Arabidopsis thaliana: one gene and its partner. The protein of the gene in region 1 interacts with the protein of each later gene in a pairwise test. Each region holds a gene or a part of one and is shown on either strand. Other genes may lie near its edges.

Region 1 (7,196 bases):
ACTTACGTATCTCCACCGCCAATCCCAGCTCCTCCACCATCTCAAACGCGTTAACCTTCTGCTCCGCGTAAAGCGGCCACGTCACCATCGGAACACCAAACCACAAGCTCTCTAACATAGAGTTCCACCCACAATGAGTAACAAACCCTCCTATCGCCGGCTTCTCTAACACCGCCACTTGTGGAGCCCATCCAATCACTTTCCCTCTATCCAAAGTCCGTTCCAAGAACCCGTCCGGTAAAACCTCCTCAAGATTCTTATAATCTCCGGGACGTTCCATCATTATATTCGGCGATGCACGACGGAGAGACCAAAGAAACCGGTGACCACTTCGGTTTAACGCCACAGCTACCTCTCTAGTTTGTTCCTCAGTGAAACCTCCCATACTTCCAAAACAGAGAAACAAAACAGATTTAGGCGGTTGATCATCAAGCCACCGCAAAACCTCCAATCTCTTTTCATCGTCGTCATCGCCGTTATCAAGATGCAACACTGGTCCAACAGGATAAGCTTGAGGAAGATCAACATTGTTAAACATCTTCAAAGCGTGAGGCTCAAGCTCAGCAACTGTATTTACCAAAATACCTTTCATCTTCCGGAAAGACCTACCTTGAGCTGCAAAAAAAGGTAACCAATCTTTTGAACTAAGGATATGAGGAAGGCACTTCACTGGATAAGGACGAGTCAAACAAGGAAACTCCAATTCGTTGACTGACTCATCCAAATCGCTGACGTCATACTTTTTGTCGTCGTACATTTCTTGAACGTGAAGTGTGATTCCCAAAAACGTAGCGTTTGATGTGTAGATCATATAACAAGGAACTCCAAATTCGTTAGCTATATCGATCATTGAAGAACAGAACATGTCCACCACGAATCCGGCGAGTTTTCTTGTTGGATTGATGATTCTGGAGACGGTGTCTCTCACTTGTGGTTTTTGTTTCTCGATGTAGACTTGAGACGGCTCAAGATTTGCGGTTGGTGGTTGTTTTTCGACGGAGATGGGTTCGTAGCGGAGGCGATCTTGAGACTCTGCAACGAGGGATGCGATATAGGCGGTTGCATCACCGGCGTCGTTTCTAGAAGGGATGATGATTACGGTGATTGAAAAAATGTTCTTCGCTTCCGATGAGTTGCTTTGCTAGCTTCACGGTTGGCCGGAGATGGCCGATTCCCGGCGAAGGTATGAACACGAGCTCAATCTTCTTCATTTCTGTTTTTACGTTTTTGGACTTTTCGTTGATTGGGTTTGTAAAGTGAATGTGTTAATAAAGTAAAATAAATGTAAGTTGTTTGTTGGGTCACGAAAGCTGGCCCATTTAGTATAATTGGGCCGAGAACCTAAAATAGATATGGTAGCCGCCGACCGAAGTAAACCCTAATTGTCTGCTGTGTCTGTGTATTTATAAGGTTTCGTCTAATGCAAATCATAGGAACTCTCTTTCTTTTCATGTCTGAATGATATGTTAGGTGATTTTAGGGTTAGGTCTGTGACTATTTTCGTTTGTGTATATATGTTGAAATTGGTGATATTTAAGGTTTTTGTGAAAGAGATTTGTGATGTCTTAGTTTTATGGGATGTGGAAGGGGTTGAATATGGTGATGATACAAGAGTATTGTGGACTAGAGTTTCAGATCTGGGATTCTTCTCCCAGAAGTTGAAGATTAACCCTTGGCTGTCTGAGTATTAATTCCCCTTTCACCCAAAATCTTATCTTTTGATTGGTTTGAAGACAAATTTCTCTGTTATTGTTTTTTTTTGTTGGTTGATGTTTTTCCACTTATAAGCTTATGATGATAGAAAACAATTATCTTAGCGGATTTCAGTGAGGTTTTTCAATCAATGATCTGAATTTGTTACACACACTGAGGCTTTTTTTTTTTTTTAATGTTTGGCTTTTGTTTAGTTGGATTATTGTTAATAGGTTTGATTGATGTTTGTATGTACTTGTTTTGGGTTATAAAGCTGATGATGATAAAAACAATTATCTTAGCGGATTTCAGTGAGGTTTTTGAATCAATGAACTGAATTTGTTACACACACTGAAGCTTATTTGTTCTTTCAATGTTTTTTGTTTTGTTTTGTTGGATTACTGTTATGGGTTTGATGATGATGATGCAATGATGAGATGAAAGCACGAAGAGTGTGAGAAGAGCAGTGGGTTTACCGTGAGCTCTCCTTTAAAACGACTTCTCCTTCCACTGAGCATTTTTTATCAAAAATTTTGCCCTATTGAAGAAAGAGTTTTAGTGTTTTTTGTTTTTGTATTGGCGTCCATTACCAATTCTGAAGGATAAAAACAGTTCCTTCAGGTATAATGGCTTGTGACGCTATATTGGTTGTGGTATATCCTGATCTTTTTGCTTTTTTCCATGCCTTTTGATCCTGGAAATGCCTCGCACATTATATCAATTGGTTTTGTTTTTCCTCTTTTTTAATACCGGAAGAGATTAGCTAGTTATTCTTTGATTTTCAGTTGGTGGAAGGGCTTTATGAAAACAATTGGTGTGTTTAAATGTTATGTTTTCTTCACTACTTTTGCAAAATAAGTGGTTAACAAAACAATTGAAAACTATGAGCTGATTTTTGGACGAATAATGGATTTAGCGTTCCTATAGAATTGATTAACAAAACAATTGACTTATCAGGAAACAATTGTTTGGTCGAATGAGCTGCTTTTTGGACATCTAATGAAATCTTTTGGCAAACAAACAATGACAACCAGACTGGTCATGCCATGAGCGACCTTTTCAGCTAATGCCAGCAGTTACTGTCTGTTGAATTGTTTACAAGTACATTTAGCCTTTTTTGGCATGGAATGCATTGGGAGATGTTTCAAAAATAGTACATTTAGCCTTTTTACTGAGGCTGGTAAAAAATCGTAAACGAATATCAATCGTTGTCACAAAGTTTTCTCTCTTAAAACATGATCGCTCACTAGAATTTCAATCATTTAAGTGCTTCTAACATCTCATATTTTAAGTTGTGAAAACACACTTAGTAAAATTAGTGAGAAATAGATACAATAACTATCCATAACCACAGGTTAATGAAACCGGACTAGTATGCTGCAAACTCCTAGATCCATTAAACCAACACTCGGAATAAATTGCTTCGAACTAGTCTTATTACTCGGATGTTTTGAATAACAAGAAAAACGTGTTCAAAATTAATGACATTTACACGTTTTTTTATTAACAATTCTCGAAATTCTTGCGAGCCACAGAAAGTACCTAAAGAATCAAACAAAAACTCCGAATTGTATGGTCAACCACATTATGACATCAACAAAATCTAAGGAACAATAAAACCACACGTGACAAAAGATACCCCGCGTGGCAAACCCGCTTAACAAGGTGGACCCCACACAGGATAAAAACAGAGCAAAACCTTTTCTTCTCTGTTCTTTCTCATCTCCTTCTCACTGGACTCTCACACACCCTTGTAAAGCTTCTAATCTCTGGAACCCTGAAACATAAACAATTTTACACGATTATTGTTATACTCTTGTTTAGAAAAAACTCTGTAATTAACTGGTTATGAGTTTCTAGACATTGTGATTTTAGTACTGATTCGGTCTCGAGAATCCACATTTTCTTAGTTTGTGAGTGTTTCTCTAACATTCAAACACAACCATGTATTAGTCACAGTCACAGTCACACATTAAAAAGATACATGAACCTATAATGAATCGTAATTTTGTTTGATCTCTGAATGTTCTGTTTTTGTCTCACGATCCTTCTATGCTATAGGATTTTAGGTGTGTGTAGCGATTGGGATTGAGAAATCGTTATTTCTTTGGAGTTTTGTCTTCGAAGAAGTATGGAGGCTCGATGTGACTTTTGTGGAACCGAAAAAGCATTAATCTACTGCAAATCTGATTCGGCTAAACTTTGTTTAAACTGTGACGTTAATGTACACTCAGCGAATCCTCTGTCTCAAAGACACACGCGATCTCTACTCTGCGAGAAATGTTCCTTACAACCCACGGCAGTACACTGTATGAACGAAAATGTTTCTCTTTGCCAAGGATGTCAGTGGACCGCTAGTAACTGCACTGGTTTAGGACACAGACTTCAGAGTCTGAACCCTTACTCTGATTGTCCTTCTCCATCAGATTTCGGCAAGATCTGGTCTTCAACTTTAGAACCTTCTGTCACAAGTTTGGTCTCTCCATTTTCTGATACCCTGCTCCAGGAATTAGACGATTGGAATGGTTCATCAACTTCCGTGGTTACACAAACTCAGAACCTTAAAGACTATTCTTCTTTCTTTCCTATGGAATCTAATCTTCCAAAAGTGATAGAAGAGGTGACGTGTTGTTTAAGTAATATATCAAAATGTTTCATTTATGATAAAGAAGAATGTTTTTCATTTATATTCCGTTCTATATGCAGGAATGTTCTGGTTTGGATCTATGCGAAGGGATAAACTTAGATGATGCGCCGTTGAATTTCAACGCAAGCAATGATATAATCGGATGTTCATCACTTGACAATACCAAATGTTACGAGTACGAGGATTCTTTTAAGGAAGAGAATAACATTGGCCTTCCTTCATTACTGCTTCCTACTTTATCCGGGAACGTTGTACCGAACATGTCACTTTCGATGTCTAACCTCACAGGAGAAAGCAATGCGACTGATTACCAAGATTGCGGAATTTCACCAGGGTTTCTCATAGGAGATTCGCCATGGGAATCGAATGTTGAAGTTAGTTTTAATCCAAAATTAAGGGATGAGGCTAAAAAGAGATACAAACAAAAGAAATCAAAGCGCATGTAAGTTTTTGAGACACATAATCAGAGTCATTATCATGCTTTTAAAACATAATCTCATTGATATTTGTGGTACCAATTTCTTCTAGGTTTGGGAAGCAAATAAGATATGCATCACGCAAAGCCAGAGCTGATACGAGAAAACGGGTCAAAGGGAGATTTGTAAAATCTGGAGAAACTTTTGAGTATGATCCGTCACTGGTGATGTGAACTAGTGAATCTTCACTGCGGAACTAAAGAATAATCTGACTCCATCCACGGGATTAACAGTTTCTTGTCGGAGAAGTAACAAAAAAAAAACATAAAATTCTCTTCTTGAGAAAGTATACAAGATCAAACTACAAAGACTTAAAATCATCGCAAAGGTGATTCCAAAATGGAGATTAAAAAAAAAAAAAACTGAAAGTTGCTCTTTTTACTAGAGAATTTCCACTGTTTTTTGATGCAACCACAAAACCTACCGGTCATACAGGCATTAATTAGGCATACAGCTACGAGACGATCAGACAAAATCAGAAACCAAAAAACAAAACAAGAGTCGTTGACTCTTTCCTACTTATAGCTCCTTAATCTCAATTACATGTTAATCATAGAAAAATATATCTTCTTTGTGTTTTGGACCACTCTCCACCTTCCATTTCACTTGATTGTAATTTGTAACGTTGTATTGTTTTCCTAGTTAAGAAAAATAAAGCCAAAGAATAAAGGCAGATTATGTTTGCCATAGGAAGATTTGTTCTTGATTTCTTATAGCTTACTATTGGGACCGCATTATTTTACTATTAAATCAATATGTTTTCTAGGTGTTCATATATTACTTTTAAGCTTTAGAATGAAAATATACATTCTTAGAACATTTCCAGAGAAAAAACCCTACCAATATTTAATCTTAATTACGCGAAAAACAAAACATAAAATCAGAGAAACACAAAGGGAATTTTGTGATCACTACTATGTTCTTCAATCCTTGCTATCATCCTTATCTCCGGTAAAACAACATTAAAATTATCACCGACAAGACATCGACGAGTTAGCTTCCGACAGGTCGTGCAGATCACGCGCCGGAGATGTCTCCGAGCTAGAAAATTAGCAGAATGGACCCATCGATCGCATTTCCTACAAAGGAAAGCTGCGTCTGCCTCACAATACACGGTGGCGTTCTCGCCGCAAAGCTCACAGCTTACCGGAGCTTTGTGACTCTCCGTGCATAGTCTTTGGCATCCTCCATTGTCGCTTCTTCTCTCTTCTTCTTTCTCAAACCCTCTACACATCTTTACTCTTTCTTTGTCTCTCTTGTGTTCAAGATTTAGGTTTATATAGGAATGATTGTTATTTAAAGCAAATGGATATTATGAAATTGTCATTAAACTGGTTGTACACGTGGAAAAATATTGACCTATTGGTTTGATGTGAGTGTCCCTAGAGGACCAAATTGTCAATAATTTAGTTATTTTCCCTCCACCAGACGATCTCTCGTCCTCATGTTTGATACACAAGTTTCGAGTAGTTGACTAGTATGACTCGCTCATTGTCACATATCACAATCACGTTCTAGAATGAATCATGAATCATAGCATTTTTGTGGTCTATAAAAAGGGAGTATATAATAATAGTATATGAATTTATTAGTGATTATTCATTAAACTACTGTGCAAGTTTTTGGTTTGTTTTAAAAAGATAATATATGAACGAGAAATTGTGTAACATACTATCATTTGTTTTCAATCATGTTTTCACTTAGATTATAATATTTCTTTTTTTTTTAAAACTATTTCTGTTCGTTTTTATAAATTTATGAGCAGTCATAACATCTACCAAAGAAATGTACCTTTTTCTTAATCTGAATTGATACAAGAGTCAAGAAAATCTACGAGTGTGGAATGAAGCGTTGAAGAAGATGAAGAAAGAGAGATACATTCAATTTAATGTAATTTAGGTGACTCATGATGGCCATGGGTGCAGTGCAGCCAATTACTCTAAATTTTACTATTAACTAGTTACTCGTTTAGTCTAGAAAAATTCATCGCCGAAGAAGTGGTTAGAGAATCAATGTCCCACTGATTACAATTATTAAAGATTATGTGACTATGTGAGCATTCAGAAATATATTGAATATCGGGTCGGGACAGTCTCTACGTTATTGGGTGTCTTCGTGTCATTGTGTGTGTGGTGGTTAACTATTTTAACTTTATATTTTATTACGAGTTTGCTCGCAAAAGGAAAAAAAAAGGAACTTCACTTGCATGGTTCATGATTAAAGTAATTTCTTTTAACGATTAAAATAATTAATTTCTTATTTTCTAGGAGACGTACATCCTCCGAAACTGTCAAAGTTGAATATCCCCTAATGGTTGCAGCGGTTAATGCCGTCAAATCTCTTTGTAGACTGAGCTGAATTTTTATTTACTATTTATAAAT
Region 2 (3,316 bases), on another chromosome or scaffold:
TAGCTTCTTAAAGTACATCAAAGGTTTGAAGCATCTCAAGACTATATGGATTGATGGAGCTCATGTTTCTGATTCCTCTCTTGTAAGTTTAAGCTCTAGCTGTAGATCTTTAATGGAGATTGGACTGAGCAGATGTGTTGATGTGACGGATATTGGGATGATAAGTCTTGCACGCAACTGCTTAAACCTGAAAACATTAAATCTGGCGTGTTGCGGATTCGTGACGGATGTAGCCATCTCTGCTGTAGCTCAGTCTTGCCGGAATCTAGGGACTTTAAAGTTAGAGTCTTGTCATTTGATAACTGAGAAAGGTCTTCAATCGCTTGGATGTTACTCCATGCTTGTTCAAGAACTTGATCTTACTGACTGTTATGGTGTAAATGACAGAGGTAATAGAAAGATATATGTGAACTCAAACCTCCGTTTGTGTTTTAGATATTGTCATCTTTGGTATCTTACGGTTTTTTGTTCCGTTGGGACCGCAGGGCTAGAATATATCTCGAAGTGTTCGAATCTTCAAAGATTGAAACTTGGACTCTGCACAAATATCTCAGACAAAGGGATTTTCCATATTGGTTCCAAATGTTCGAAGCTTCTAGAACTTGATCTATACCGGTACACTTTCTTGGTGGATTCTTGATGAAAAATGTGCAAGACATGTTTCGTTTTCTTACTGATTTCTGGTTTTTGAGTGCAGCTGTGCCGGTTTTGGAGATGATGGTTTAGCAGCTTTATCTCGAGGTTGCAAGAGCTTGAACCGACTCATTCTATCATACTGCTGTGAACTAACTGACACCGGGGTTGAACAAATCCGGCAGCTAGAACTTCTAAGTCACCTCGAACTTCGAGGGCTAAAGAATATAACCGGTGTTGGTTTAGCAGCCATTGCGTCCGGCTGCAAGAAATTGGGTTACTTGGACGTTAAACTCTGCGAGAATATTGATGATTCGGGTTTTTGGGCGCTCGCTTACTTCTCGAAAAACCTACGACAGGTACAAAAAATAACATTTATAGATGGAGATCTGGAAGCATCTATTGGAAACATGTTTGATTCTTGTGTTGTGTGTTTTGTTTGGCAGATAAACTTGTGCAATTGCTCGGTGTCTGATACGGCTCTATGCATGTTGATGAGCAATCTGAGTCGGGTTCAAGACGTTGACTTAGTTCATCTGAGCCGTGTGACTGTAGAAGGGTTTGAGTTTGCTCTAAGAGCCTGTTGCAATAGGCTCAAGAAGCTTAAACTTCTCGCACCTCTCAGATTCTTGCTCTCATCGGAATTGCTCGAGACGCTTCATGCTCGTGGTTGCCGCATTAGATGGGACTGAAAACATAAAGAACAACGCGGTTTCTTGTGTTGGTTAGTTTATACTGTTGTAGGTTTTTGATGTTTATAATCTCAATGTTAAAAATCAGTGAAACTTTAGTAGCGGTTTGTTTTGGATCCATATAAATGAATCGGTTTAAGTGAATTGCTGCGGTAAAATATTTTGCTATAACCGGTAAAAAAGATCGGACAACGCTTAAGTAATGATTTCTAGTTAGAAAGTTGTTGATGTGTAATAGATCTATGTGATGAACTGATGATCATATGTTTTTGAAGTCTAACAGAAAGCTAAACCAATCAGATGCAACATGTAACTCCTTTGTGTTCGAGCAATGATATGAATTATGCTTTCACATTTAACATTTGAAAACATATTTTTTAACTAAATAATTCAAAATAAGTTTTGTACAGCAAAAAATTATCTTGCAATTTTATAGAGAAAATATAGTTTTGTATTTACTTTATTTCTTTTTTCTAACACTATTAATTGGTATAATATATACACTTTAAGTAAAAATAAATCACTTTCTTTTTTCTTCTTATAATAATAACCAAATAATGTTAGTCAAACAAATAATGTTAATATCATTAAATATTCTTAACAATATACTAAATGCGTTAAGATTCATTGTTGTAAAAGTTTACCTGCTTACTATCCCACCATATCTAATCTATGCTTAAGCTTTTCCTTTATATATGCAAATCTTCAAATAAAAAAATAACAAGCCTAGAACACTAGAAACTTCAAAAAAGAAAAAAATCTTATGGAGAACAACAACGGCAACAACCAGCTGCCACCGAAAGGTAACGAGCAACTGAAGAGTTTCTGGTCAAAAGAGATGGAAGGTAACTTAGATTTCAAAAATCACGACCTTCCTATAACTCGTATCAAGAAGATTATGAAGTATGATCCGGATGTGACTATGATAGCTAGTGAGGCTCCAATCCTCCTCTCGAAAGCATGTGAGATGTTTATCATGGATCTCACGATGCGTTCGTGGCTCCATGCTCAGGAAAGCAAACGAGTCACGCTACAGAAATCTAATGTCGATGCCGCAGTGGCTCAAACTGTTATCTTTGATTTCTTGCTTGATGATGACATTGAGGTAAAGAGAGAGTCTGTTGCCGCCGCTGCTGATCCTGTGGCCATGCCACCTATTGACGATGGAGAGCTGCCTCCAGGAATGGTAATTGGAACTCCTGTTTGTTGTAGTCTTGGAATCCACCAACCACAACCACAAATGCAGGCATGGCCTGGAGCTTGGACCTCGGTGTCTGGTGAGGAGGAAGAAGCGCGTGGGAAAAAAGGAGGTGACGACGGAAACTAATAAGTGGAATACGTTTTAGGGTATTTTCAAGGGAATATGTAGTAAATAGTCATGGATCTAATTTTTTTAAAGAAATAGCCATGAGATACAATGTTCTGTCGGAAACACATGTATTATTACATGTATAACCTTAGACATTGAGGGGACAATACACTATTTGGGAGCGTGATGATTCTCGGTTTGAAATTTGAAATATTCAGAAGCTAACATTATATTCATTCTCTCGCACCAAAAGTAATATATGAGAAAATAAAAATCTTGTTTTTTCTTCACACCGCAAAATATCCTCCCAAAATCTAGCGCCGTCGTTGGCGATTGCGTTCACCGTCGGTTACTCTCATCTTCTTCAATCAAGCCCAGAACTTGATTGTCTCCTTGAAACCTTCTTCTCGTTCTTGTCGCCGTTAGCAATCCAAGTATTAATTTCTGATCCTCCCCTTGCCGACGAATCTGGTAAGGTAAGCCATTGATTTTCGTTTATTTATTGCCGATCTTCTTCTATTTCTTCCTCTTTATACTTCAATTGCATAGAAATTAACGATTGTGGCCAGATCTAAAGTTTGGTTCTTTTTCCCCTCTATCTCTATCTTCTTCTATGTCTTCCCATGTATACTTACATAAGTATCCTGCATAGGGTTCTCACCGTTTGTGTCCAGATCTAAGT

The links. The genes of interacting proteins can lie anywhere in the genome.
Region 2: the proteins of BBX9 (region 1) and NF-YC8 interact in binary tests that used the Arabidopsis thaliana proteins (3 or more experiments, as listed by UniProt).

What each region holds. Positions count from the first base shown.
Region 1 is NC_003075.7:8,707,734-8,714,929, reverse strand, and holds BBX9 (B-box type zinc finger protein with CCT domain-containing protein), read left to right. Parts: upstream 1-3,403; 5' UTR 3,404-3,445; exon of another isoform or gene 3,446-3,450; intron 3,451-3,753; 5' UTR 3,754-3,823; coding exon 3,824-4,312; intron 4,313-4,398; coding exon 4,399-4,781; intron 4,782-4,867; coding exon 4,868-4,988; 3' UTR 4,989-5,163; downstream 5,164-7,196. Other genes in the region: AT4G15260 (UDP-Glycosyltransferase superfamily protein), read right to left, coding at 1-865; BBX30 (B-box type zinc finger family protein), read right to left, coding at 5,696-6,049.
Region 2 is NC_003076.8:9,940,072-9,943,387, reverse strand, and holds NF-YC8 (nuclear factor Y, subunit C8), read left to right. Parts: upstream 1-1,940; 5' UTR 1,941-2,088; coding exon 2,089-2,652; 3' UTR 2,653-2,719; downstream 2,720-3,316. Other genes in the region: AT5G27920 (F-box family protein), read left to right, coding at 1-389, 486-615, 698-992, 1,080-1,325. UniProt on the Arabidopsis thaliana protein: Stimulates the transcription of various genes by recognizing and binding to a CCAAT motif in promoters.